7 linked regions of the Ovis aries genome follow. The protein of the gene in region 3 interacts with the protein of the main gene of each other region in a pairwise test. Links are inferred from orthologs where the notes say so. Each region holds a gene or a part of one and is shown on either strand. Other genes may lie near its edges. The genes, in order: KCTD14, MIIP, STK16, PLSCR3, TRIM42, SAXO1 and ADAMTSL4.

Region 1 (4,300 bases), on a different chromosome or scaffold from region 3:
TGTTCACATAAATAGGTATAAATTTACATGAGGTTTATGTTTATGTCTTTACTGAATTCCCATAGTATACACTGCTCTGATGTTTATTTTTAACTGCTTAATAAATAATGAGAGGCTTCCCAAGTGTTGCAGTGGTAAAGAATCTGTCTGCCAATGCAGGAGACACAAGGGACACCCGGTCTGATCACTGGATCGGGGAGTTCCCCTGGCAGATGACATGTCCACCCACTCCAGTATTCTTGCCTGGAGAACCCCATGGACAGAGGAGCCTGGCAGGCTACACAACTGAAGTGACTTAACATGCATGGATGCGTGGGTTTTGGGGAAGAGGATCACCGAGAAAAAGTGCCATTTTCATCACACTCTATCAAGGATATACATTATCATCATAATTTCTGACTCCTGCTATTGACCTTGATCACCTGGATAATCACCTGGCAAAGCTGTCTCTGTCATTTTCTCCACTGTGCATTTACTCTTCTGTTCCCCTCTCTTTCCATACTGTCCTCTTTGGAAGGTCACTATGCAGGCCTATACTACAGAAGAGTTATTCCCCACTTCATAAGGAATATTTTTTTAATAGTTATTTTTAATTTTTTTAAGTTTTATTTATTTAGTTTTGGCTGCACTGGGTCTTGGTGGCTGTGCAGGGTCTTTCTCTAGTTGCTGGGGGAGGGGGCTATTCTCTAGCTGGGACTGGAGGACTTCTAGTGCCCGTGGGCTCCAGCAGTTGCAGCTCACAAGCTCTTCAGTTCAGTTCAGTTCAGTCACTCAGTCGTGTCCGACTCTTTGCGACCCCATGAATCGCAGCACGCCAGGCATCCTTGTCCATCATCAACTCCCGAAGTTCACTCAAACTCACGGCCATCGAGTCAGTGATGCCATCCAGCCATCTCATCCTCTGTCGTCCCCTTCTCCTCCTGCCCCCAATCCCTCCCAGCATCAGTCTTTTCCAGTGAGTCAACTCTTCGCATGAGGTGGCCAAGCTCTAGAGCACAGTAAATAAATCTTTTGCTTAGTTGTGGCCCCTGGGCTTAGGTGCCATGGGGCATGTGGAATCTTCCCGGACCAGGGGGGCCCAGGGATTGAACCCAGGTTCTCTGCATCGGCAGGCAGATTCTTTAATAATAATATAGTAATAATCCCGGATCACCAGGATTATATTTTACCAGCAAAATAACACACACAGCAGGTACCTAGCATGTGCTGCACGTTCAGCAGCTGATCTGAGGTGACTATATAATCCACTGTCCCCTGGAGACTCACTTTTCTTACCTGTAAAATGGGTGTTTCTTATCATTCACCCCCACGACTGTATTGAGTGGACAGCGTCCAGGGAGTCAACGTCAGTTCCCTCTCCCTTCCCCATTTGGCTGTCCAGCAACCCAGACACGAGAGGGGCAGTGACCAGCCTAGGGTGTTACGGCCAACTGCAGCCCAATCAGGGCTCTCACCACACCCTGGGTAGGATTCCCCCACCCCCGGGCGGGAGCCAGGTGCACTTCGGCCGGCCACAAGTAGCCCGCACGGGCCAGCGCCCGCGGGGCCGGGGGAGATGAGCCTGACCTCGGCGCCCGACTCACGGCCGAGCGGCCGGGCCGCGCCCCTCGCCGGCCGGCGGACGGTGAGTGCGAAGCCCGCAACGGGCGTGCAAACCCGCGCGGCTCCGGGCCCGCCGCCCTCCCTTTCCTCACTCCTTCCAGGGCCCTCTAACCCTTCCCTCCCCGCAGGTCTGGGTTCCCCTGCTTCGTGCGCGCCCCTCTCGGCCTGCGGCTGGGGGCTCTCCACCTGGGCTGTTCCTGCCGCCTCGCTCTCTCCGGCAGCGCCCCGGTCTCGGCGCCGGTTCCGGCTCAGTCCAGCAGCTCCTGGTTGCCCTCTTTCCGGCTTGGCGGCCTTTGTGTGGTCTCCTCCCTGTCTGCTTTGTGTCTCTTCTCGCAGCCCCTCTGGCTTGCCCCTCCTCCTTCCCTGCCCCACCCCTCCTGCCGGTGGGAGAAGCCCCCACTGGGGGCGGGCCCGAGTATCGTCCACCGCCCCCCCTCCCACCGCACCCCTTCTGCAACCTGAACCCCTGCCCTCTGGCTGGCTCCTGAGTCTTCCTGCTTGCCTGTTTCCTCCCAGGATTTGCGGGTATGGAGGGGGAGTGGGGACCAAAGGGGAGTATCAAGAAAAAGCCCAGTGCACTCTAGTATCAGAGCATTCTCACCTCTCCCGGGCTAGGTGCCATCTCCAAGGCTTGTAGGAAGGGAAAGCAGAGCAAGCCGTGGGGCGACTGTGGCATTTTCCAGTCAGGTGATGACAGCCTTATTGTTGTTGGCTGTTGACAAAGTCACCTGGTCAGAGGCGTGGCCACCCAACGTGCCCAATAAATGTCTGAATTAATTACTAGAAGAGGGAGGAAGCCTGGACCACGCCTGATGCTAAGTAGGGCAAGACTGGCCTTTATTAGAACCGCAGGGCGCTCCTGTGAGTCAGTGCTGAGGGTAAGTGCGGTTCAGTTCAACAGACACATTGAGCAGCCCCCTGTGCTGAGCCCTGCAATTTGTACTGGTAACACGAAGATGAATCTGGGAATAGTCCTCCCTTAGGAGCCTTCTACGGTAGTGGGGGATTCAGATGAAGGAACAAAATTACAAGAGAGCGATAACTACCATGACGAGGGAAGTACATGGGCCTCTAAAATCACAAGTAGACAACCCATCCAGAAAATTCCCAGAGCAATTAACTTGAAGGCTGAGTGGGCTGAGTGATGGGACCGTGGGTGGTGAGCGAGTGACGTCCTGCGGACAGTGGGGCCCAGCATGCTCTGGTTGGCTCGGGAAGGGAGACCAGTACTGGCTCTGGTAGTTGATTGTCAGGGTTACAAAGGGCCTTGTAAACCTCGTTAAGGAGTCTAGAATTTACCTTTAAAGATATGTGGGATCACAGAAGTGGTTAATGCAAGGAGTGACTAGATCAGATTTGCACTTCCGAGAAACTGCTCTGGTTTCAGAGTTGAGACTGGATTGGGTGAGGACATTCCAGGAAGCCAGGAGCCGTGGATCTGACGAGGCATTTAGAATCCCCAGGATTTAGTGCCTCATTACCTGTGTGTGGGGAGGTTGAGGACATGAGCAGAGTGCAAGATTACAGTCTAGGTTTCTGGCTCAGATGACTAAGACAGGATGCGGCAGGAAAATGTCCAAGTTGTGGTGCGGGGAGAGATCTTGGGGCTTGGGGACATATGACTGGAGATGTCCCTCCACTGACTAGACTAAGAGTGACGTAAGGAAATGTATGAATGTTTGGTGGAGTTAGAGTTGGGCCTGTCTGATTCATCCCTGTGTACCAGCACTAGTCTGATACCCACATGTCTCCAGCCAATGCACACAGGTCAGACTTGCCCATTGAGGAATGCTTCAGCAGGGTGACTGGGTAGAACAGGTGGGGAGGAGGGGCTGTAAGGAAGGGCTGGTAGTCTAGAAGAGGGATGGGAAAGAAGTCTTTATCTGCTAGAAACAAATACAGCAGTATTCATGGATGACGTAGGAGGTTTGGGATTCCCAAAGAGGTTTGGCGTTTTTAGAAAACAAGGAGGGAAAAGGGACAGAATTAAGAAGCTTGGGAACAGGGCCCGGGTCTTGGATGTTAAAGAAATGGGGATGAAGATATCAGGGCAGGGGGCTATTTTGTTTAGTATCTGGAAATGAGCTTCAGAAACAACATTTGAAGTGATTGGATTCATTAAATTTTCAGAGCTGAAGAGACTCAGAGTTCTCTTCATCCATTTTGCCTCCCTATGTCATAGATGACTAAGGTTAAGCTCAGAGTGGCTCAGACAGTAAAAAGAGTCTACCTGCTATGCAGGAGACCCAGGTTCGATCCCTGGGTCAGGAAGATCCCCTGCAGAAGGGAATGGCAACCTACTCCAGTATTCTTGCCTGGAAAATCCCATGGATGGAGGAGCCTGGTGGGCCCCAATCCATGGAGTCACGAAGAGTCAGACATGACTGAGCAACTAACACACTCAAGCCCGGAGAAGGAAGTGAGATGCCCCAGGATCATAGCTGATAATTTGGCAGCGGTGGGACTGGGTGTTGGGAAGGTGGGAGTAGAGCACTCATACTGTCCTGCAGTCAGACTGACACGGATTTGATCCCAGCCGCCACTTCCCAGGTGGCGCTAGTGGTAGAAAACCCACCTGGCAATGAAAGAGACATAAGAGACAGTTCAACCTCTGGATCAGGAAGAGCCCCTGGAGGAGGGCATGGCAACCCACTCCAGTATTCTTGCCTGGAGAATCCCATGGACCGAGGAGCCTGAT
Region 2 (3,500 bases), on a different chromosome or scaffold from region 3:
ACAGACCCCACTTCCTAGGCTTGCAGGAGAGTGATGCTGTGGAGGAGGACCACGAATGTGAGTGTAAACACTTGGTTACCCCAGAGCCCAGCCAAGGCCTGGGGGCCTGGGGAAGCAGCTGAGTGTTGAGGACTCAGGGAGGGAGCCTGGTGTCCCGACAGGGCATGGTGAGCCCTGGATAAGGGGTGGGGGTGAGCTGAGGCTTGGCCTCATGGGGAGTAGGGCCAGCCCTGTGCACTCACTGCCAGCTTCCCCAACCGCCTTGCTTCCCACATGCCCCGCGCCCCCTTCCTCTCCTCTCTGCATATGGGTCATCTGAGGTGGGGGGTTCTGGCTGTCACGTGAGCACCTGAGTCTATGTTGTGGGTTTGTACATGCAACATATAGTGTTTGTATCCATGAATGTATATGCGTGTGTGAGGTGTGTTCACGTGGACATATATGTGTGTGCACTGTGTGTGATTACAAGTATAAACACACCGTATATGTCCACAAATGTGGCTATATGAAGCAGTGCTCTGAGTGTGCACAGATGACACTTGAATGTATGAAGATGCCAGCACGTGTGCACGCATGTGTCATGCTTGAGTAGAAAGCGGTGCTCAGTGTCATTGTGTGTGAGCACGTGTATGTGTGCACACTCCGTGTACACGTGGGCGGGCCTGTGAATGTGGCCACTGGGGCTGTGCAGGGGCTGGTGGGCCTGTGTGGTTGGGGTCCAGGGGGTCTAGGTTCCCTGGCTGAGGAGGGACTTCTGCTCCTCTCTGGTCTCACAGGCGTGTACTGTTACCGTGTCAACCGGCGCCTGTTTCTGGTGCCTGCGGATCCTGGCACCCCCTGCCGCCTGTGCAGGAAGCCACGGGCCCAGCAGGGTGCAGGGACCCTGGCGGAGCCAGCGCAGGTCAGGTGAGTGGCCTGAGTGGGCAGGACACCCAGGGGAGTCTCAGGGGCGGTGGCAGAGGGGAGCAGAGCCTGGGGCCCATGGTCTTGGGGGCAGGTTGGGCGTCGCAGCCTGGAGAGACCTGCAGGAGCGCCCCCACTGTCGCCACCCCCAGGGTGAGCATCCCACTGTCCGTCCTGGATCCCCCACACCGGCACCGCATCCATCGGCGGAAGAGCTTCGACGCCTCCGACACACTGGCGCTGCCCCGGGTGAGGATGGGGGTAGGGCTGCCCCCTGTCTGGCCCAGTCCTCAGTTGTGTCCTGAGGCCCAGAGAGGGCCAGGACTGTCCCAGAGCCACACAGTGACGCTGGGCTCAAGGACCCCAGTCTCTGGAGTTCAGACTGGCCACTCACGTCACCTGTGCTGTTCCTGTTCCCTGATGGAGGTCAGGCTCCCCACCCACCCCCCGTCTGCCCGTGAGCTGGCATAATGCAAAAGGGTCTGATTTCTCATGCTTTTGTGTGCCGTGTGCACAGTCCTCAGGGGGTTTATCTTGTGGGGTCAAGCAACAGAGAGTGCAGTGGTGGTGGTTTAGTTGCTAAGTCGTGTCCAACACTTGCGACCCCATGGACTGTAGCCTGCCAGACTCCTCTGTCCATGGGTTCTCCAGGCAAGAATACTGGAGTGGGTTGCCATTTCCTTCTCCAGAGAATAGAGGTCCTGCTGTTATTCCAATTTACAGACGAGGAGACTGAGGCAGAGGGGAGGTGCCTTTTCCATGGTCAGCCAGGTAGAACTTGGGGTCTTATACTTCCATGATGCCTCCCCCATAGAGCCACCCTTTGTGTCTTCTGGGTAGGACAGGGGTCAGTGGGGACCCCACTCACTCCCAGTTGAGGCCGAGGATGCTGGAGTGGAAGCAAGGAGAAGGAGTACTGAGGAAAGTCCGTTTGCTCATCTGTAAAATGGGTCCAGTGTACTGTCCTCAGGCTTATGGGGTGAGCGGGGGGCAGGTCAGTGAGTCAGTACTTGTTAGGGGCCTGGAGCAGAGCCTGGCACACAGGATGTGCTCCATCAGCATCCACAGCCTTCCCTCCACCCATCTGTGGTTTGGGTCCGCAGGATTAGGAAAGGGAGGCCCGGGGGAACAGTGGTGGACACAGACCTCTGCCCTGGGGGAGCCTCAGTCATGGGAGACACTGATTATTTGCGGGGGGTCCCTCCACCCTCATGGGGGACACAGCCCTGCCCTAGAGGAGGCTGCCAGTCCGGAAGGAGAGGTGCAGCCCCTCCCTGGGCCTGCCTGGTCAGTGGGGAGCCCCGCTCCCAGCCAGGCGCCTTAATCCCTTGCTCTCCACAGCACTGCCTGCTGGGCTGGGACATTATCCCTCCGAAGTCTGAGAAGAGCTCAGCTCCCAAGACCCTGGACCTCTGGTCCAGTGTCTCCTCTGAGGCCCACCATCAGAAGCTGTCAGCCACTGGCTCTCCTCACCTGGTACGTCCAGGGTGCCCTGGGAGGGGCAGACACCTTGGAGCAGCCTGGGGACTGCAGAGTCTCTGGGGGAGGGGCGCAGAACCTGGAAGCCTCTCTCTGTGGGCTCCCATATCCCTGGCCCTGACCCCCAGCACCTTTCCAGTCTCCAGTGCTCCCCACTGGCTACCCTACCATGCCCTGGAAGCTGACCCCAAGTCCGAGATCCAGAAGGGGATGAGGCTGCATATGGAGGGAACCCATCCCAAAGAGGCCCCCTCTGAGACCTTTCTCTTCATTCCCTAGGCTGTGCCAATGCAGGTCCCACCCCCGACCCCAATCTGGTCAGAACCCTCCTCCATGTCCCGGCCTCGCTCCTCCCAGCCGAAGCCCTGAGGACTGGCCACTTGGAGGTGAACAGTGCTCCTGCCGTCGTTTCAGCTTCACCGCTCTGGCAGGGGTGCCCACGAGAGGGGAGCCTTGCCCAGTCTTGGCTGGAGGTGGACTCAGGCCCCACCTTCCTTCCTAGGCTGGGCCCCGGCCTGTCTCCTTCCTGGGGACACAGAAGGGGACCCTGGGGTTGGGGTGAGGGGATTCTGTGACACGTTTGTAAGTAAAGCTCAGTGCTCCCTGCAGCCCCAGATTCCCACATGTGCCGGGTCTGTCCTGCCGATGCCCTTAGAATCTCAGAGGTGCCCTGGCCTCAGCCTGGCCCTCCTCATCTGGGGAAGGACGCCTCTGACAGCGTGTGCCGGGTGGAGTGGATCCAGCACTGAGTGTGGCACTTTTGGGGGTGAGGGTCCCCAAAGCAGGCTGGGGTCAAGGTCAGCATTAAAAGGCCCCCTCAGCAAGGGGCTTGGGGTCTCAGGCCGGCCCCTGTAGATGAGGCTGAAGCTGTGACAGTGGGGAGTGAATGAGCCCCTCCTTCTTGACCCCTGACACCGGGGTCCAGTGATAAAGGAATGCTCTTAAAGTTCCTGGGTCCCGTGGCTCCTTTATTTCCATCTCAAGCCCAACCCTAGAAACCATGGATGATTCAGAGCCCCAGCAGGGACACCTGGGGAAATAAAAGGCCAGGAAGGTTCAAGTCAGAGGCAAGTGCTCACCTCTGCCCTCCTGAATTAGTAAGCAGCGTCTGTCTTTCC
Region 3 (4,115 bases):
TCATGAACCAGCTTCATCATGGGAGCTTGTTAGAAATGCAGAGTCTCAGACCCTACCTCAGACCTGTAGAATCAGAAGTTGTATTTCAACAAGATTTCCGGGTGCTCTGAGCACATTCAGGATCGAGAAGTAGATTTCTGCTACACTGAGCCCCCTGAGGATAGGGAGAGCCTTGTCCATCCTGAGTCCTCTGCTGCTATCACAGGGCTCAGTACACAGCAGGTTAAATCTAGATGAATGTCAGATCTAGGTTCAGACCCAAGGGAAACCAGAGGATATTTTCTCAGTATATGAAAGGGGAGTGGGAGTTGGGGTGGGGATCAGGTTACAAGAGGAATCTTCTTCCTAGAGAATCCTGTCCTGTTTCAACAAAAGAGACCATCTAGGCCATCCTATCATCTTTGGATGTGCGCCCCTTTCCAATTTACCCCTGCCTGGGCAAGAGACATCAAAGTTCCAAGGTTTGGAAATTTGTGAATTTCCATCACTCACTGCCTTCACAGTCCCAAGCCTGGGATGTGAAGACCAGGATAGTTATTATTGTTATTTCTGCTTATGGACACTACTCAGGGCTATGCATCAATCGCTATAGTAAGCACTTCACCTCTCATTTAATCTTCAAACAACTCCATGAAGTAGATAATAATCTCCATTTTACTGATGAGGTGATTGGAGGATAGAAATATTAGCCCGTTAACAAGGTCACATAACTAGTTTAGTAGAGCTGGGATTTGAATGAGGCAGTCTGGCCTCAGAGTTCATGCATTTAACTTTAGGTACTCTTACACCTATTTTACAGTTAAGGAAAGTGAGGTTCCTAGAGGCTAAGTAACTTGTCCAGGTGACACAGCTAATGGGCTATTAAGATTCCGACCCTAGTCTAGTTGAAGAGCTTGAGCTCTTAACTACTGTGATTACGGTAATAAGATACAGGCCAGAGCCCCCAAGGTTGTACTGATCAGAGCTGCAAAGGGGTGCAAACTGCCAGCTCCCGCCCCCTCTGAGCATCCACCTCCAGGCTGGACCCCAGTCGGCCACCCGGTGCACGGGAGGTATGACGCCTCCTACCTCTGGCATTGGGAGAGGCAGGTCCTGGGGGCCTCGGGCCGAGCCCGGCTTTGCTCCCCTTTGACGTAGGTGCCTGCGTCTTGACCCTCACTGCAGGCCAGGTGGGGAACCCTCACCCGGGTCCTGGGACCCCTTCTCCCCCAGGCCTAACCCGCCCCCGGCCTCTCAGCTCCACGCCCCCACATCGTCCTAGTGCTCAGCGGTTGCTAGGATACTGCGGGCCGTTACGCCGGCGCGGACTGATGACGTACTACTGCTTCCGGCCCCTGGCGCTTCCCTCCCGCTGAAGCCGGGTGAGTGTGGTGTCCTGGCTGGCCCACCCAGACCGAGACCCGGAGTGGGTTCTGCAAGCGGTGGGTCCAGGCCTCGCATTCCTCTCCGGATCTACCCCGTGCCCTGCCTCTACAGCCCAACGGGGTGTGCGAGTGAGGGGCTGCCTGAAGGTGGGCCGGGGTTGGAGGAAGTGGCCTGGGAGTCGCCGAGGGGCCTGGGCCCTTTTAAGGCACCTGACCCGAGCCTTCTTGGAGCGGGCGTTGCCAGGGCTTATTTTCTCTAGGTTTGGAGACCTGGGCCTGAGCGCTTCACGTTGGCCCTTTAGGGGGGGGTCATCTGGATTGTGCCCCGCCCATGACCTGCCATTCTTTTCCTTCCAGCATGATCTGCTGGAGCCCCAGCAACTTGCCTGAAAGAGACCACTCGACCTGGACGAACCCTTTGGCAGCTTCAGACCGTCCTTGAGAAGGATGACTGAGACACTATGGGCCACGCGCTTTGCATCTGCTCTCGGGGAACTGTCACCATTGACCATAAGCGCTACCTCTTCATCCATAAACTGGGGGAGGGGTGAGTGTTTTGGAAATCATTTAGTCCCAAGAATTGTGGTGTTTGAAGGACAGCAGTCAGCACAAGATAGGGGCACAGAGCCTCTAATTCACCGGCCGGAGCCCAGCTCCTTGGTAGTCAAGAAAGTGGATTGTGGAACCAGTCTTCCTAGAGTCACCATGTATGGCCTTGATAAGCCCTAGTTGCTTTATCTGCTTATTAGAGCTAATTTTGCTTCAATGATGGGGCTGTGAGGACTAAATGAGATAATTCGTATCAAGTGTCTCCCCTATTGCCTGATAAATAGCACTTGATAAAGGTTGGCTGTTATCTATTTAGTATTTATTGAAGCCCTGCATTAAGACCATAGGACCTAGAAAGTGACTGTGTCCTTGCTCTATGTGAATAATCTTCAGACTTCTTTTTAGAGTCACACCTTGGGAGGGTTGCTAGTAAACGGGAGACACCCCCCCCTCCCCTCGCACTTCTTCCCAGGGAATTCCTCTGGATCCCAGCAGTATGGGAGATGACCTTGGTCCTTCACTGACCCCTTTGGCCCACAGTGGGTTCAGCTTTGTGGACCTAGTGGAGGGGTTGCATGATGGACAGTTCTACGCCCTGAAGCGAATCCTGTGTCATGAGCAGCAGGACCGGGAGGAGGCCCAACGAGAAGCAGACATGCATCGCCTCTTCCATCACCCCAACATCCTTCACCTCGTGGCTTATTGTCTGAGAGAGCGAGGCACTAAACATGAGGCCTGGCTGCTGCTACCCTTCTTCAAGGTCAGAAAGTCTCCTGGCTATGGATGGGATTGCAACAGAGCGGTGTGTGCCAAGGGCTATCATGAGCACTCAAGCACATTAGGAAGCAGAAGTCATGTTCTGGTTTGAGCATTTCAGATTTGGGGTTTAAGGAACCCACCTGGGGCTGTAGGGTGTGTGGTGAAATTGCTATAAATTCTGACATAGGGAAAGAATCAGGCTCAGGGAGCAGAGGCTAAAAACATCAGCTGCGGGGAAACTTGTTTTGCAGAGAGGTACGCTGTGGAATGAGATAGAAAAGCTGAAGGACAAAGGCAACTTCTTGACTGAAGAGCAAATCATTCAGCTGCTGCTGGGTATCTGCAGAGGCCTTGAGGCTATTCACACCAAGGGTTATGCCCACAGGTCAGTGGGAGGCTCCATGTACTTGCTGGACAGAAAGGAAGAGCCTCATGAAGAGAAATGAGAGATCTCTGTGCTCTTCTCCAGGAACAGTCCCCATGATTCTTTTGCTCCCCCTAGGATCTTGGGCTTTTGGTTCAGGGATGCTCATGGGTCATTTCTACTTCCCTGCAGGGACCTGAAACCCACCAATATCTTGCTTGGCGATGAGGGGCAGCCAGTTCTGATGGACTTGGGGTCCATGAATCAAGCATGCATCCGTGTGGAGGGCTCCCGCCAGGCTCTGGCCCTCCAGGTAAGAGTTTCCAGAGTCCTTTGCCCATCTCTTCCTCATCCTCAGCCCCTTCTGGTCCATGCCCCAGTTTGGGCACATGACCAAAACCTGTGCCCTGCTTCTGAGCTCTGGGGCCACTGTTCCAGGACTGGGCAGCCCAGCGGTGCACCATCTCCTACCGGGCCCCGGAGCTCTTCTCCGTGCAAAGCCACTGTGTCATCGATGAGCGGACTGATGTTTGGGTGAGGAGCGTGTGGGTGGGAACGTGGAAGGGGAGGAGTGCTGCTCTGTAGCTGCTGTGAACTGGAGGAGCAAGTCTTTGGTTTCCAATGCATGGGGCCCCAGGAAGCATGTATGTCCCAATCCCCCCTTGACTTCCTTCCTGGGAACTATCACTGACACTGTACTCAGTTGCTCAGGAAGTGATATAATCTTGCCCTTTGAGCAGGATAAGTATAACTAAATGTCAGGGCTGGAGGCAGCGGCTCAGCACAAGACGCAGAGGCCTCCAGCTAACTGGCAGTTTCTCTGGGGCCCTGGTGGTGTCACGTGACTGAAGTCTGCATACTGCAGCCTCCTTTCACTACAGAATGAAACAGAGAGAGATGACTCCATTGGTCCTCTTCCAAGGAATAACCAAGTTATGCTCAGTCCCTAGGCTGTGTGCTATATGCCATGATGTTTGGGGAAGGCCCTTACGACATGGTGTTCCAGAAGGGTGACAGCGTGGCCCTTGCAGTGCAGAACCAACTCAGCATCCCGCAGAACCCCAGGTGAGCTTGAAAGG
Region 4 (4,066 bases), on a different chromosome or scaffold from region 3:
AAAATGCCACATACCTTTTTTGATTGCCTGTCTGAAATACAGTAGGGGCTCATTAAATCTACACTGAATAACTGAATTTCCGTTTGTGTTTTGGTGGAGGTTGGTGCATGGTTTGGGCCAGGTAGGCACTAAGGGATACCAGGAGAGAGGTCTGGCACTTGGGTTTGAAGCAGATGATGACTGAAGCTGTAGGACCAGCCCAGAGGAACAGGGACAGAGGAGCCGGCAAACCTGCTTCTCCCTATGTTCATCTTGCTGGGTGAGACCCCGATCTGCCTGGTCACCAGACAGGCAACAGAAGTCATCCTGGACTCCTCACCTCTGCATCTGACCTCTCAAGCAAGTTCTCTATTATTGTCTAAATATAGCCAAAGTCTGCCGCTTCCCGTCTGTCTACACTATCACAGCCATCCCCTCCCCCAGACTACTGGCAACAACCCAGTCTTAGGTGCCTCTGTTCCCCACCACGCAGTTTAAATGGTTTTCTAAAATAGCTGACCTCCCTCCGTCTTCGTAAAATCTTTCAGTGGGCTCCTGCTGCCCTGGGGGCCAAAGCCCAGCTCCCACAAGGCCTTCTGCGCACGTGGCCCGAATTCTTATCTAAAAGGGCATTTCTTGCCACTAAGCCTTTAGGCCCCCAAGGCGCAGGACCCCCTCACACCTCCTGGCCTGGGCTCAGGACTCCAAGCCGAGGAAGTGATGCCTGTTGGGGAAGGCCTGCCTGCGTCCGGGCTGCCTCCTTAGCCTCGCCTCTCGCACGCTCGTTACTGACACTGTCTGGCGGCCTGTCGCGTGGCTGGGGGCGCCTGAAGGAAGGATTGTAATTGCAAAGTGTCCGTGTGTGTCACTGCTGCGTCAGGTAGAGAAGATGGGCAAGGTAGCCCCAAGGAGGCAGAAGGGGAGCCAGGAGCCAGTCGGAAAAGCCAATGGGTGAGAGTGTAGGGTGCTTGGCTGCGTCAGCGAGGCCGGAACCGCCCTCAGGAGGAGGAGCCTGGGGTCCAGCGCCGCGCGAGCGGCCCTCTCTCCCACTAAGGGTCACTGGTCACTCTCCGCCCGCAGACCTGGCGGGGGTCGCAGGGTTAGGTCTCACCCGACTGCCCTCCCAGGCGAGCTTCAGCATCCGAGCGGAAAGGGCGGGGACGCCCGCCAAGCCACGGGGCCCCACCGGAAAGCAAGCATTATTTCTGCGCAGGCGCGCCGCTCTGGCCGGGAGGGGCGGGGCCTGGACGGGTCGGGGGCGGAGTCACCTCTGGGCCCGCCTCCACTAGCTCCTCGGGCCGCCGAGTGCTGGGCACCCGGGCTATTCTAGGGGCTTCAGGTGAGCAGGGGGAACAGAGGGGTCAGGAGACCTCCTTCGAGGTCGGGTCGTCGGTCTGACTGCAGGCCCATCTGTCCTGCGGTCTGCCAACAGCCGCCTCCGCGGAGAATGGGAGAACAAAGGGAGGGGGCGGTACTGGGGCCCCTGCGGGAATCCAGGGTCCCAGCGCCCCCGCCTTGCCCGCTGACACTTTCGGTTTCTCCCCGAGTCAGACGCGCCGCCCTAGAGACCCTGGGCCGGCGCTGGGCGCAGCCGCCTCTCCGCGTTTGCCTGTCGGTCTTTGTGTCTGTCTTTGTGTCTGTCTGCTGTCTTCGAGCTTGCCTCCACTTCTAGAACTAAACCTCTGGGACACCGAGATCCCGCGAATCCTCGCCTCTCTCCCATGGCAGGTAAGTGGGCGCAAGGTCGAGGGTCTCCGTTATCCCCCCCACGGACTTGGTAGCCCGGTGTCAGACGCATCCTCCGGGAATGTGCTCGGACTGGCTGTGTGGGGCCCCTCCCTTCCTCCCCGAGAAGCCGCCGCCCTGCTCCCCCGCCCCATCTTTCTCATTCTCTTCTCATCACAATTTCCCCGCAGCCTCGCGGCCTGTGGGCCAAGGGGTAAAGGGATGAAGTCAGGGACCCCTTCTAACCTACTCTTGTCCCCCCCACAGGCTACTTGCCCCCCAAAGGGTATGCCCCTTCGCCCCCACCTCCCTACCCTGTGACTGCTGGATACCCGGAGCCGGCACTGCATCCTGGGCCTGGGCCCGGCCAGGTGTCCGGGCCCGGGCAGGCACCAGTGCCTGCCCACGTGCCTGCCCCTGCGCCGGGCTTTGCTCTCTTCCCCTCGCCTGGCCCTGGGGCCCCGGGACCAGCTGCCCCCTTCTTGCCATTGCCAGGGGTGCCTTCCGGCCTCGAATTCCTGATGCAGGTGAGTGGGAGGGAGGGAGGGAGGAAGGAAGGGAGGAGTGACAGGGAGGGGACCCAGGCGACTAGGCAGGCCAGCTGATGTCCGCCTGGCCCCTACTGTCTTTCCAGATTGATCAGATCTTGATTCACCAGAAGGCTGAGCCGGTGGAAAGTGAGTGGAAGGAGGAATAGGTTGGGCCTCATCACGGGGGCAAATAGTGGGCTCTGGGGCAGGCGCTGGTGTCGGAGCCTCAGCATGTCACCCCTTGGCAGCGCTCTTGGGCTGGGAGACCTGTAACCGCTACGAACTGCGCTCTGGGGCCGGACAACCCCTGGGTCAGGCGGCGGAGGAGAGCAACTGCTGTGCCCGGCTGTGCTGTGGTGCCCGCCGGCCCCTGCGAGTCCGCCTGGTGGACCCCGGGGACAGAGAGGTGCTGCGCCTGCTCCGCCCCCTCCACTGTGGCTGCAGCTGCTGTCCGTGTGGCCTCCAGGAGGTGAGTGGGGAAGGCTGGGGCCGGAGAGAAACTCGGGTAAGGGGCTGGCCAGTGATGGCGGCAGAACCTGGGTGAGGCATGGGATGAGATGGTCTTCTGATTGGAGTTGGCCAGCAGCAGGTGGGATGGGAGGCCTAGTGAGAGGGAAGACAGGTGGTCTAGTGAAGGGGATGGAAGGTCTCATGAGGGGAAACAGATGATAGAGCTAGACTGGTGAGAGTTTGGGGGCCAGGGTACCCGGCTGGGCAGTGATCCTGTCTGTTTCCCACTCCAGATGGAAGTCCAGGCTCCACCGGGCACCACCATTGGCCATGTTCTACAGACCTGGCATCCTTTCATCCCCAAGTTCTCCATTCAGGATGCTGACCGCCAAACCCTCCTGAGAGTGGTGGGGCCCTGCTGGACGTGTGGCTGTGGCACGGACACTAACTTTGAGGTATCAGGAATAAGGGGAGATTCCTGGGACCTTCATAAACCAAGGCATCCATGAAGCAGGATAGTCAAGAGCTCATTAATCCAAACCTGCTGTGATGCCTACCACATTGCTGGCTTTTCTCTACTCAGAAATAAGATGGACCAGGATCTTATAAAACATGGCTGAGGATTTCATCTGAAGGGCCAATGCTGATTGCGATCTGCAACCTTGTGTTGAGGGAGAAAAAAATTAGCTTAGGCCAGGCTGGAGTTAGGGTGAAGGATGATTATTGAGTGTACCTTGGGCTGGGCCCACATGGCGCCTGTGTGTGTGAGTTCGTGAGCCCAGGCCCTGGAGCAAGCACTGATTTCACTTGTTAATATCCTGTGGCTTACCTTGCCAAATGTCCACCCATCCACCCCTAGTCTGAAATCCAGGTGATGTCCTTCTTACCATACATTCTGGTTACCAACCCAGAGCCTAGAGAATCCAAGTGGTGACCATTTAAGAGTAAAGCCTGGGAAGCACCTTCTTTTCTAGAAGATAAAGGCACTTGAATACTTTAAGAGATAATTATATGTGTAGATAAGGGAGGAAACAACAGGTATAGTCTGGTAGGCTTTCCAAGGCTTCTGATAAGGTGCTCTACCTAAGGTTACTTTTTAAAACTGAGTCACCTTGGTACCTGGGGAAAGCTTCTTTGATAGGAACTCATTGGCAAAGAGATAACTTGATGATCTCTGGATGGGAATATGTAGACTGCATGGTTCTTATCAGGTCAATCTTCCTTTTATGTAATATGAATGGTCCACATTTGGGGTTGTGCTCTTGGGACCACAGGGCTGGCTGGGAGAGGCCCTGCCCAACCTGGGACTGGTCTGCAGGAAGTGCCCCAGGGCTGTAGGACCTTCGGGGAAGGGGATGGGCAGGACATCACTCCAGTTCTAG
Region 5 (3,500 bases), on a different chromosome or scaffold from region 3:
AACTGATGACTTGCCGGTTTTCTTGCGTATCAGGTGTGTGTCTCATGTGGAAGTGGTCTCATGAAAGTCCTCTCTCTCTGTACTATAAATTTCTCTTTTCAAAAGTCAAAAGGAATGGATTTATTCTCTTTACTTCTAAAGAATCTCTGATTAAGATATAATTTACTCTGATTCCTAAGAGCACCATCATGGTTGTACAGTAAGATAGTTCTAGGCAGTCTTGGCATATTTCTTCCCTTTCTCTTTTGAATATCAATAAAATTATGCCCCTGAATGTATTGCCCCTGGAGATACAAGGAAGAACCAGCCTTGCATCACAAAAAAAAGATAGAAATAATCTTATCCCTTCCTTTTTGGGAGTCCTTCCTGGCTTGCTCACTGGCAACTCCTTGACTTCCAGATACACAACAAATACATTTTTTAGTATAACTATTTCCTAAATACGGCATAGGATACACTAACACTAAAAAATTTCTTCATTGCATGCGTCCTGTATTTATATTGGTTAAATCTGATACACTATCTTTGCTTGAATCACCACTGGGGCTAATGTGTCACTTTTTTGGTCCTTTTTACACCAAGATTATTTTTTCTAGACCTTGAGCTCCTTGAAGGCAAGAATTATGTCTTATTTTCCTTGGAATCTCTACATCCTAACCTGATACCTGGCACGAATGTTTTCTGAATCAGATGGAAGTGACGATTCTCAGGCCTCATTGGCAAAGTTGGTTGAGGCCAGGGGCCCTCTCTGTGTCCTTGAGTAGCAAGTTTTCTGGGAGTAGAGGGGCCTGTCACAGGGTGAGTTCCATGATCTCACGATCATCCTGACAGCTGCATCCAAAGTGGATCAAGAACATCTGTCTGAGAAGTAACGTGTACAGTACCTTGCAAATGTCACTCCACTGCCCGGGACCGTTATCATTGATGGCTCGCACTTTAAACAGGTACTCGGTGTTGGGGGTCAGGTTGTGTAGCTCCAGATTCTGCTGCATTATGTCCCGAATTTGTCCACAGAGCTCTGTCCGCACGTTGTTAGGAGGGGAAGTAATGAGTTCATAGAATTCCATCTCAAAAGAGTCCACGTCTTCTGTTGGGCATGTCCAATAAACCTAGGAAGAAGTGGATGTGTTAGTGGGGGTATTAGCAGACACCATGCTTTTCCTTGAAGATCTGTGTTATTGACCCCATGGGGTAAGTTTAAACTGACTCAGCCCCTCTAGCTGCTGAAGACCTTGTGCAACAGTCTTGAGGGTCTGGGTGATGAGTCCTGACATGATGTTTATCATGCATTTTAAGAACAGATGGATGCTCCTCTGGCTTCTGTTCCTGTCAGTCAACGTGAAGGTGATCTTGCCCTCTGAACACCACTAACCAAAGTGTCTACCATTTACTGAACACCTGTTATGCATCATGTCTGTGTCAGACATGGCCTGACTCATGTGGTCCTCACAACTTCCTTGGAGGGAGATTTTATTATCCCAGTTTACAGTGGGGGGCTTCCCAGGTGCTGCTGTGGTAAAAAGCCTGCCTGCCAATGCAGGAGACACAAGAGATGTGCGTTCAATCCCTGAGTCAGGAAGAACCCCTGGAGTAGGAAATGGCAACCCACTCCAGTATTCTTGCCTGGAAAATTCCATGGACAGAGGAGCCTGGAGGGATATAGCCCATGGGGTTGCAGAGTCGGACACAACTGAGTGACTGACCATGTATGCAGGCATTTTACAGAGGAGCTCAGAAAGGTTACATTTAGCAATTTCAACTAGAAGTTGAAAAGTGTATATATTTCAACCCTTCATTTATACACAAAAGAGTCCCAAAGAGGTGAAATGACTCATCCAAGTAATGGAGAACATATTTTCATACTCAAAGCATAAAATGTCAACTCTTGGGAAGAGAAATATTAACAAATGTTAATTAGTAGATTGTGTCTGACATATAAATATTTTATAATAGCTGTATTTTTAAACAGACATTGCATACTTTATTTAAATTTTCATAAAATTAAGTGTTATTGTGTGTACAGGGAGCTCAGCCCAGCTGCTCTGTGATGACCTAGAGGGGTAGGATGGAGGTTGGGGTGGGAGGGGGGTTCAAGAGGGAGGAGATGTATGTATACTTATAGCTGATTTACGCTGCTGTATGGCAGAAATCAACCAACATTGTAAAGCAAATATCTATCAATTAAAAATATAAAAATGTTGTTGTGTATAAAATAAATTTCTTATAAGTATACACATTTTAAAGTTGCTCTGAATTTGCATGATTACTTTATAATTATTTTTATATATTTACACTTTTAAAAGTATAAAAGCCTGACTTATTAATAAGTCATATAAATGTATAAAGTTTTTAAACATTTTTTTGATTATCAAAATGTACTTGTTTTAAATACAAACTTGGAAAACACATAAAAAGTATAAGAAAGAAAGAAAATAAACATCTCTTATAATCTCAGAGTTCAGTTAATAATTCATTATTATTTCTTTCCAATTTCAGAATACACACGAACACAAAAATGTATGTAATTTGGATTATATTGCTTGAATTCCTGCTTTTTTCCACTTATTGCATTTTATATATGTCCCTATATCATTAAAAATTCAGTAAAGCACCATTTTAATAATTGCCCCATAAATGATTTGGTCCTTCTATAGTTGAACAGTTAGGTTGGCTCTAATTTTATACTCTAATAATGATGCATTGAACGCTTTGGGGCATGGATCTTCATCACATTTTTAATCATTTCCTCAGGGGGGATTTCTAGAAATAAAATGGAGTTTTTATAAAAAAATCTTTTAAGACTTTTAAGATACATAGTGACAACCCATAAGACTAACTTAAAGAGTATTTCCTGTGCCAAAAGGAGACAACAAATTTAAGGTTACCAAAGGAGAAATGTGTACGGTTGGAGGTATAAATTAGGAGCTTGGGATTAGCACACACACACTACTGTATATAAAATAGATAACCAATAAGGACCTACTATATAGCACAGGGAACTGTATTCAATATTCTATAATAAGCTATATGAAAAAGAATCTGACAAAGAATGAATATATGTATATTTGTAACAGAATCACTCTGCTGTACATCTGAAACTAAAAAATCATTGTAAATCAACTATAGTCCAGTTAAATTCAAAAAAATAAAAACAAATATCCCCAAATAAAAGAGAACTGTTAGTCAATCATCACTTAAGAGAGATGCCAACACTGGTTTCAACTTCTGTTATCACTGAGCACTATGATTCCTGTGTGAACTATACCCCATGATCCTGAAATAGGTGTACTTCACCTATTCAGGTGAAAATATTTTAAAAAAATGATATTTTTACACCAAATGCCACTGTCTGGCAGTAGGTTTAGGTGTCCTATTTTGAGAGTCAGTGACTTCACTGAGTTTTCCTATATACGTTCCTTTCTTGAATTCATCAAGGGTGTGTTAAGCCCAGGGGGCCCAGGGAGACTGTTCTTCAAGCCCAAGAATAGAGCAGACATCAC
Region 6 (3,500 bases), about 130 Mb from region 3:
GACCTGAAAGAAGAAAGGAACCAGACTTTCAGTGCAAAAATGTTTTCACGTAGTCGGTGGTATATGCTCAGAACTGAGGTGGTTCTGCTCTGTGTGATGCCACTTGTGTATGAGGGTGATATTCTCAATTGACCCAGGAACCAATGAGGAAAGATAGTAAACCTGGCCCTTGAGCATAGCCTTGGAGCCCCCTGTTAGGTCAGATGTTAAGCCTTTAATTGCTGGGTGGCTGGGAGGTGAAGTGGGGTCTTCGGAGGGACTGGGTTGGCATTCAGATGCCTCGGGGGCCACAACCATTTCCCTATAGTATGTGAGTGTTTCAGTATTTAAATGAGAGGCATGATGCATGTGAGGGCTGGTCATCAGCTATGCTTTGTAACTTTATGATCGAAGGAATTTTGACAATTAACCAATTGCAGTTACAGATCATTTAAAAAATTCTGGCCACTTCATATAGTTGAGTAGAGAAAAAGAAGGGTTAAACTCCTGCTTTCAATGTTGGCCGTCATGATTCTATACTCTGGGTCACATTTTGAGTAGGTAGCAGCCTGAATGTATTCTTCGCAAGAAGGTAACCAGCCTCACGTTCCATTTTTCTTTTTTAACTAGGCGGCATCATTGTCCACACCTCCCTACCAAGATTTATGACAAAACAGAGAAACCATGTCTTCTCTCCGAATATACCGAGAACTACCCTGTCTATCACTCTTACCTGCCCAGAGAGTCCTTCAAGCCCAAGATGGATTACCAGAGAGCGTGCACGCCGATGGAAGGCCTGACCACATCGAGGTGAGGGCATGGTGTGAATGTATGAGTGCAGAGCACTGATGGAGTAACGTACATTAACCTAATGTTCAATATTACATTAATGTGCACTGCCAATACGTGCTATTAACGCCTTAATGTTAATTTACTCAGAATCTCTGAAAGAGAATCCTGCATTTATTAGCCAGTTTAGTTTTCCCCATCACTCTTTTAGTGAGCAAGGATTCTTGCTTGGGGCTGGGGCAGGGGTGGGGCCATGGGGCAGGAATTGCAAATTGACCTACATGGAAAGGCTTAAAGTATTAAAGGGAAGTAATAACTTGAAAGGCGGTGAGGGCTGCTGCAGAAAAAGGAGTTTTGGGCTTTTGCACATAAGCTCTAGTTCAGCTTGGGTGGTGGTAGTGATGTTGGTGGTGGTGAAAGAGAACTTGAGCGTTTTTGAAGTTATGCTATAGATTTTGAATTGAGGTCCCCTTGACCATACATCAAGAATATAAACAAAGAATATTTCCTTTTTAATTACTCTTGACTTAGAAACTCTGATTCTTGAGGTCCAGCTCTGTACAGAGACTGAGCCCCGTGGCTCAACGTATCAGGGCCGCAGGGTTATCTGTATTGAGGGGGTGGGGACACGTGGTCAATCTCAGGATTGTTCTACACATTGCGTTGCAAGGCTCTCACAGAATCAGGCTGTTGACAACTCATTGAGTGACATCTGACCTGTGACTGATGACCCAGAGGAGTACCAACACCTTGGAGTTACTTGGGCAGTGTTTCAGGTTATATAGCTTAGTCCCCAGCTAAGACCTGAGAGCTGGATGCCTTCTCTGCCTCTGATGATCCTCATCCCTGAGGGGCAGCATTGCTGTGCAGTGGAGATGAACTAGTCCTAGTATGATGCCCACATATTACAGGTTTTCAAGATCTGGTAAATGTTCTTCCTATTGCATGCTGCCCCCACTTTTGCCTTGCAATTTTGTGCTTTTTTGATAAAGGTCCCAGATGGCCCAGACTAAGCAGAACACCATTCCTTCTGCCTCCAGGTTTCCTCCAGGATAGGCCTGGAAACATCCTCTGTTGAGAACGTGGGTTGGAGGCATGTACTATATGCTGCTTATCTTGTATATCCAAAGAAGTCCATGTCTGGGTGATGGGGTAGAAAAGACCCACCAGGCAAGGTCAAAGCCAAGTGATCCCTGGACTTAGTGGGAACTGGTGGACAGAGGCAGTTTGAGAATGGGAGGGAGTCAAGGGTCTGATTCTTGAATCAGGCCACCTTTATGCTGAGTAGTTGTATTAACTGATTTGATTTAAGCACAGGGTTTCTGGGTCCTGATTCATGAAAAAAAAATGTAATCTATGCCACCTGCTTACTAAACAACATAAACCTTAGGGTTTGGGCTTCATTTTGCCAATAAAATAACATCCTTTGTTTCTAAGAATCTAAAGACCTCAACAAGAGAGAGAAGTGGAACATTCTCAAATGTTGCTTTTCATTTTGAAAAACCTACGGTTGATACTCATGAAAAGAACTAGGCTTGTGTATAAAAGACATGTAGTTGGTAGGAAAAGATAAGAGCAGTATGGAGAAATGGCTTGTGAATATCACATTTGGTTTTAAGATGCTAGTCTTCACTTCTCTTTATACCCAAGTATAAAGAGTGCCTCATGGAATGTAGAGTGCAGAGTGGCTTCAGATATTGTCCTGGAAATATTTGAATCCTTGGAGGGCTGGATGTTGAAGGATGCTTTCTGTTTGTTACCCACAAGCTCAGGAGAATGAGGACAAACCTTTTCTCTGGAGCAGTAGTCCTGCCCCATGCCTGAGCTGTGAGCCCCCAGTGGAACCCTACATTCCCTCTCTCCTCCCCATCATGCCCCCCTCCCCCATATGCTCTCCTTCTTTGCAAAACAAAAACTGGCCCTTTGACCTGTTCTAAATTATCCTTGCCTGTGTCACTTACAACAATAAACATATCACCCAGAAATCCTCTCTGTCCCTGCCAAGGCCAGAATAATAAAATCATTCATGTGAAGATGTGGCCAAAGCGGAGGAATGCAGGTAGTAAAAGAATTTCCAAAACAACTTATTAATGATCATAAAGACCTTAAAAACAAGAAGTGGCAGGATCATGGTTAACCATGGGAAGGAAAAAGGACGGAAATACCTCTCTCCTCTCCTTTATTTTCTTCCCCAGAAAGAGGACTAAGGTGGAGATGAGCAGAAGGCATCTCTTCTCTCTCTTGTCCCTCAGTTTCATCATTTCTCAGTCCCATGCCTGCCCTGATGGGCACATTTTTATAGAATGAAAAACACAAACAAAACAACCATGCCACTATCAGGATGCCTTTTTTTTTTTTTTTTAGCTTTGGTGGGATTTTACTGACATAAATCAACAAAAATCAAGATTTTACTAACCATCTTTTCTGAACCTTGTAAACTCAGCAGAGACTCTGGTCCATATCTCTGAATACATAACACTATTCCCTGCAGGGAAATGTGGAGATGTTGTCACCTAGGTGCTCCACTGGAGGTTGGCGAGGAAGGGGTAGGTCGGCCTTGTGTCTGCACACCTCTGCGTCTGTGAAGGTTGCCATCCTTCTGCTCTTGGACTCTGGTGGTCAGAATGTCCGGCCCACTTTGCTATGTAAAGGCAGACCTGGCTTAGTTTCTGAAGTTGGACCTGGGACTGCTTGACATGCCACCTGCTACATGACAAAGTCATATGGCCCGA
Region 7 (4,072 bases), on a different chromosome or scaffold from region 3:
CTGGGACTCATCTGTTTGTTCTGTTTCATTCCAAATATTTCTATTAACTCTACAAATACAAAAACCAAAACAGAAATACAAAAGATGAAAAAACAGAGATGACACAAAGTGGCCTAAATGGTCCTTGTCTTGAGAAAACTTAGGGGTTTATTGAAATAATAATAAATCATAATAAAATTATAATTTTATAATATAAATTATATAACTTATAAATTATAATAAAATATAGATATTGAACTTCAAATAAGGATATAATACTTATACTTAAAAGCATTTTATGTTTTCACTTCCCTCATCTCTTGAGACAACATTTGCTTCTGTTGAGTCCAGTACTTACCTCCCAAGTCTGTCTCCAACTAGACCCAACTCCTTAAGGCCAGAGGCTGTTCTAACTGTGCCCTCCACACCAAGTGCAGAAAGTGCTCAATAAGTATTAGGTGGGAACACCTGATACCCTGCTACTGAATATCCTGGTTTTAAAATATTGACAAGTCACTGGAAAAAAATAAATAAATAAAACCTTTCAAATGCTTGAGAGTAGACCCAACAGTACATGACTGTAGTTCATGAAAAAATGGCAAATAAAACTTTTAAAATAGTGGTGACAAGAAAAATAATGACTTTATCTACTCTGTCATTTTACGTGTATTATTTATTTCTTTACCATAAAAAACAGATAATGCCTGTGGTTAAACATTCAAAAACATATAAGCATACAGAGTAAAAAAGTGAAAGCTTATATTTTTATTTTCCTCTCCCAACCCCTCCCCAGCTGCTGCCCCCAGTTCCGAGTTTGGGATGTATTCTTCCTGATCTAAGTAACTAGGCAGACATATCTCCAAGCCTATTCGTGTATGTCAGGTTAACCCCATTTTACAGATGAGGAAACTGCAGCACAGAAAGGTTGAAGCATTCATCCAAGATCACAGAGGGAGATTCAAATCCAGATCCTCTGATTCCTAAATCAGCGCATTCCTTGCGCTACGCCCCGTAGGTAACATTTATGGATGAAGAAACCGAGGCTTAGAGGGTCCCTGAGCAGTCAGAACCACATGGTTCACAGTCCAATTTAGGAGAAGCAGGGATAACTGGGCTTGCACGGGAGGCTGCGTGATGGAGAGGGCCCTGACCAACGTGGAATCGAGGTCAGGCTTGACCATCTCCCAGCCCAGCAACGCCCCAATGTGGGGCGCGGGGCTCGCCCACGCCGCTCGGGTACCGGCGCCACCAACCCCTTGGCGCCCCTCGCGGCCGCTCCGCCCGGGCTGGCGCAGCGCTCGCACCGCCCACTCAGAGCCGGTCGGGAGACCGCGGTCCCGGAGACCCGAGCCCCAGCCGGGTCGAGGGACAGCCCTGGCGCGATGGCTCCCTCGGAACCCGGCTGGGACCTCCTCGGCCTCGCCCCCTGGAGCGGTCGGCAGGTGCCGGGCGGGAGCGGCCAAGGCCCGCAGCCCAGGGTGGGTGGCCCTGGCGGGCTGGGGATTCGGGGGCCGCCGGGGGGCTGCCGCCGGGCGCGTGGCGGGCGGGCTGGCGGGGCGGGGCGGGGCGGGGCGGGGGCGGAGCCGCGGCCGGAGGCGGCCGTAGCCCGGCCCAGGGGCCGCAGTGGCTGCCGCGGAGCGAGGCTGCCTGGAGGGAGCGCCCGGGCGCAGAGGGGTTAGCTGGCCGCCGGGGCCGCGCAGAGCAGGTACAGATCTTCCCTGGGACCCCTGGCCCCGGTCGCCCTCTCTCCCCCGTCTGGTTAGACCATCCGCCCCACGCCGCCGCGCCGTCCGGGTTCTCCGAGCCCCGCGGTCGCGCCCCAGCCACGACCCCGGCCCCAGTTCTTATAGCCTCGGAAGATCTTCCAGTCCCTGGGGTCCAATTCCTGGGGAGGGGGCTCTGATCTCTTGGAACGCTGGCCCCATCACTCGGACGAAGAATCAGCCAAAATTCCTACACAGAATAAAACTGGAAAACACACCCAGGAGCTCCCGGCACGCGCCGGGCACCTCCTGCCCTTCCCCTCTGGAACGGTATTTCTGGATGATGCGTTCCTCCCCCATCCCCCCAACCCTGTCATCCGCTTCCGTCCTGGGTTGGGGGGCACAGACGCTGGGAGGGTTACAAGTGGGTGCCCCGAATCCAGCTCAGCCTGACGACTAGAAAGGCAGGACACCTGTTGGGTGGGCCTCCAGGACCCAGGAGTGGCACAAGGAGGACCAAGGAGTTCTCGCCCAAGACAAGGACTCTGCAGCCAGCCCTGGAGCCCTGGACCCACCCCCTGCCCCTCAGTGCCACTGTTCCCCAGAGGTAGGTCTCTTGGGGTTAGTGAAGCGGTTAGTTCTGCCCAGGTCACTCCTCCTTGATCTCCACTGGCCAGTGTGGAGTTGTGGCAGGGAGGAGCCCAGGTTTGTCTAGACCAGTGTCAGCCGGGCCCAAGAATGGCCAGTTCTGTCTGACCTCTCCTTTCTTCACTCTGGACAGTGAGGCTCACCAGATGAGAAACGGAAAACATGAAAAGACTGAAAACCACAAATGTGTATCTGTTTCTGCAGCGTTTGTGTGTGCCTGTGTGTGCATGTGTCGGCCCCCTGCCCAGCTATGCGGGGGGTGGGGTAGGACTTTTCCAGAGAGGGAGCCAGGCCTGGCCCTGGCCCCAGGAGCTCACGTCACCCCACCCCCCACCCCTCACTTCTCCAGGGAGCTGCCAAAGCCAAACCCAGCTCAGGACAGGATTATGTGTACTGGGTAGACCCATAGAGAGAGACAGCTAGACACAGGCCTGGGGTAGCAGAGAGAAGCAGAGGCAGAGGAAGTGGAGAGGGGACCCAGCAGCAAGAAGTGGCAGTGACCAGCCTCCCATCTCCTTCTCTTCAACCACCAGGAAGGGAGTCAGGCTGAAAGCTGAAGGTTTGGGTGGAATGTTGGCCCTTCTCTGGAGCCCCTACCCGCCTCCTCATCAGGGCGGAGTTGCTGACCTCAGTGGTCAGCCCAGCCAAGGGAAGGAGCAGCCATCAGCAACCCCCTTCACAACCCCAAGTAGCTGAGGAGACCGTTCGGGCACAGGCCCCGCCACTGTGATCCTTCTCAACATCCCAAGCGCTGGGGTCTCAGGGAGGTGAGGGGGAATGGATTTGCTACCTCCAAGCACATTCCTGCCCTTCCCTCTGTCATTTTCCTGCCCCTGAGCTGGCCCACCTCAGCATTAGCTCCTTGGATTCCTCTCCCGGGTGCCTTTCAGATCCAACAGAAACATTTTTTTTTTTTTCCTGGAAAGCAGAGCTCAGAGCAGCATGAAGAGTGGGGGTGGGAAGGGTTCATTGTGAAGGGACTGGAGGGCCAGGGGGAGCCATGGGAGAGCCAGGCTTAGACCAGGGGAGGGTTCCAAGCTCCACTTCTCCAGTGATCAAGCTGAGACTGCAGGATGGACTTCCTGGCTCTTCAGAAGATAGACCCATGAGTGACTGGGGACCAATAGCCTCTCTAGCTGTATCTCCCCTCCCCAGCTTCCCCCAGCCATCAGAGTCTTGCCTGAAGGAAGGCCTCATTGATCCAATGCCAGAGGCTGGCCCCTAGAGGGAAGTTAAATATCACTGGGGAAAATCACCTGCTTCTCTAGAGATAAACCATCAGCCCATTTAGTTTATCCCTTGGCTGCAAAGTTTGAGATAGGCACAGTTGTGTCAAGTGTTCCAGAAGGAGCTTATTAGGTAAGAAGGCAAGAAAAGGCTGAGAAGCAGGTGGGAATGGAAAGCCCAGGGGGCTTCCAGTCAGCAGCTCAGAGAGGATGTCTGAAAAGTCCTCACTGAACCTCCCTCCTCAACCCTCTTAAGAAAGATGCATGTGTCTGAGCTGGCCTAGAGACAGTCGCTGTTTAGGACACAGGAGCTGAGAAGTTCCTGAAGCTGAAGGAGGGGACTGCGCCTGAGCTGGGAGGCTGAGGGCAGACCTCCACCCCTTCAGCTTGGGTAGATGGACAAAGGCAGTGCTCCTTTTCCCTCTCACCTTTAGGATCATTAAGGGATGGACCAATCTTCACCCCTCCATTCTCACTCTGAGTTGTCCTTCTGAGAAGTCATCCCTCCCAATCCCC

Evidence for each region.
Region 1: the proteins of STK16 (region 3) and KCTD14 interact in binary tests that used the Homo sapiens proteins (3 or more experiments, as listed by UniProt). The link is inferred for Ovis aries from reciprocal best matches to the Homo sapiens genes STK16 and KCTD14.
Region 2: the proteins of STK16 (region 3) and MIIP interact in binary tests that used the Homo sapiens proteins (3 or more experiments, as listed by UniProt). The two-hybrid records come from large-scale screens. The link is inferred for Ovis aries from reciprocal best matches to the Homo sapiens genes STK16 and MIIP.
Region 4: the proteins of STK16 (region 3) and PLSCR3 interact in binary tests that used the Homo sapiens proteins (3 or more experiments, as listed by UniProt). The two-hybrid records come from large-scale screens. The link is inferred for Ovis aries from reciprocal best matches to the Homo sapiens genes STK16 and PLSCR3.
Region 5: the proteins of STK16 (region 3) and TRIM42 interact in binary tests that used the Homo sapiens proteins (3 or more experiments, as listed by UniProt). The two-hybrid records come from large-scale screens. The link is inferred for Ovis aries from reciprocal best matches to the Homo sapiens genes STK16 and TRIM42.
Region 6: the proteins of STK16 (region 3) and SAXO1 interact in binary tests that used the Homo sapiens proteins (3 or more experiments, as listed by UniProt). The two-hybrid records come from large-scale screens. The link is inferred for Ovis aries from reciprocal best matches to the Homo sapiens genes STK16 and SAXO1.
Region 7: the proteins of STK16 (region 3) and ADAMTSL4 interact in binary tests that used the Homo sapiens proteins (3 or more experiments, as listed by UniProt). The two-hybrid records come from large-scale screens. The link is inferred for Ovis aries from reciprocal best matches to the Homo sapiens genes STK16 and ADAMTSL4.

What each region holds. Positions count from the first base shown.
Region 1 is NC_056074.1:15,598,689-15,602,988, forward strand, and holds the start of KCTD14 (BTB/POZ domain-containing protein KCTD14), read left to right. Parts: upstream 1-1,500; 5' UTR 1,501-1,555; coding exon 1,556-1,624; exon of another isoform or gene 1,625-4,300.
Region 2 is NC_056065.1:40,918,923-40,922,422, reverse strand, and holds part of MIIP (migration and invasion-inhibitory protein), read left to right. Parts: intron 1-4; coding exon 5-57; intron 58-776; coding exon 777-906; intron 907-1,055; coding exon of another isoform or gene 1,056-1,152; intron 1,153-2,244; coding exon 2,245-2,379; intron 2,380-2,661; coding exon 2,662-2,884; 3' UTR 2,885-3,500.
Region 3 is NC_056055.1:221,193,131-221,197,245, forward strand, and holds the start of STK16 (serine/threonine-protein kinase 16), read left to right. Parts: upstream 1-1,315; 5' UTR 1,316-1,361; exon of another isoform or gene 1,362-1,511; intron 1,512-1,721; 5' UTR 1,722-1,825; coding exon 1,826-1,911; intron 1,912-2,385; exon of another isoform or gene 2,386-2,409; coding exon of another isoform or gene 2,410-2,453; coding exon 2,454-2,673; intron 2,674-2,923; coding exon 2,924-3,057; intron 3,058-3,228; coding exon 3,229-3,349; intron 3,350-3,474; coding exon 3,475-3,570; intron 3,571-3,979; coding exon 3,980-4,101; intron 4,102-4,115. UniProt on the Homo sapiens protein: Membrane-associated protein kinase that phosphorylates on serine and threonine residues. In vitro substrates include DRG1, ENO1 and EIF4EBP1. Also autophosphorylates. May be involved in secretory vesicle trafficking or intracellular signaling.
Region 4 is NC_056064.1:26,965,612-26,969,677, reverse strand, and holds the start of PLSCR3 (phospholipid scramblase 3), read left to right. Parts: upstream 1-1,266; 5' UTR 1,267-1,700; coding exon 1,701-1,707; intron 1,708-1,971; coding exon 1,972-2,231; intron 2,232-2,338; coding exon 2,339-2,381; intron 2,382-2,482; coding exon 2,483-2,703; intron 2,704-2,977; coding exon 2,978-3,139; intron 3,140-4,066. UniProt on the Homo sapiens protein: Catalyzes calcium-induced ATP-independent rapid bidirectional and non-specific movement of the phospholipids (lipid scrambling or lipid flip-flop) between the inner and outer membrane of the mitochondria.
Region 5 is NC_056054.1:248,852,209-248,855,708, forward strand, and holds part of TRIM42 (tripartite motif-containing protein 42), read right to left. Parts: intron 1,110-3,500; coding exon 885-1,109; intron 1-884.
Region 6 is NC_056055.1:87,546,761-87,550,260, reverse strand, and holds part of SAXO1 (stabilizer of axonemal microtubules 1), read left to right. Parts: intron 1-609; coding exon 610-789; intron 790-3,500. UniProt on the Homo sapiens protein: May play a role in the regulation of cilium length. Stabilizes microtubules at low temperature.
Region 7 is NC_056054.1:100,567,590-100,571,661, forward strand, and holds the start of ADAMTSL4 (ADAMTS-like protein 4), read left to right. Parts: upstream 1-1,272; 5' UTR 1,273-1,457; intron 1,458-1,601; exon of another isoform or gene 1,602-1,684; intron 1,685-2,174; exon of another isoform or gene 2,175-2,289; intron 2,290-2,863; exon of another isoform or gene 2,864-3,097; intron 3,098-3,990; 5' UTR 3,991-4,072. UniProt on the Homo sapiens protein: Positive regulation of apoptosis. May facilitate FBN1 microfibril biogenesis.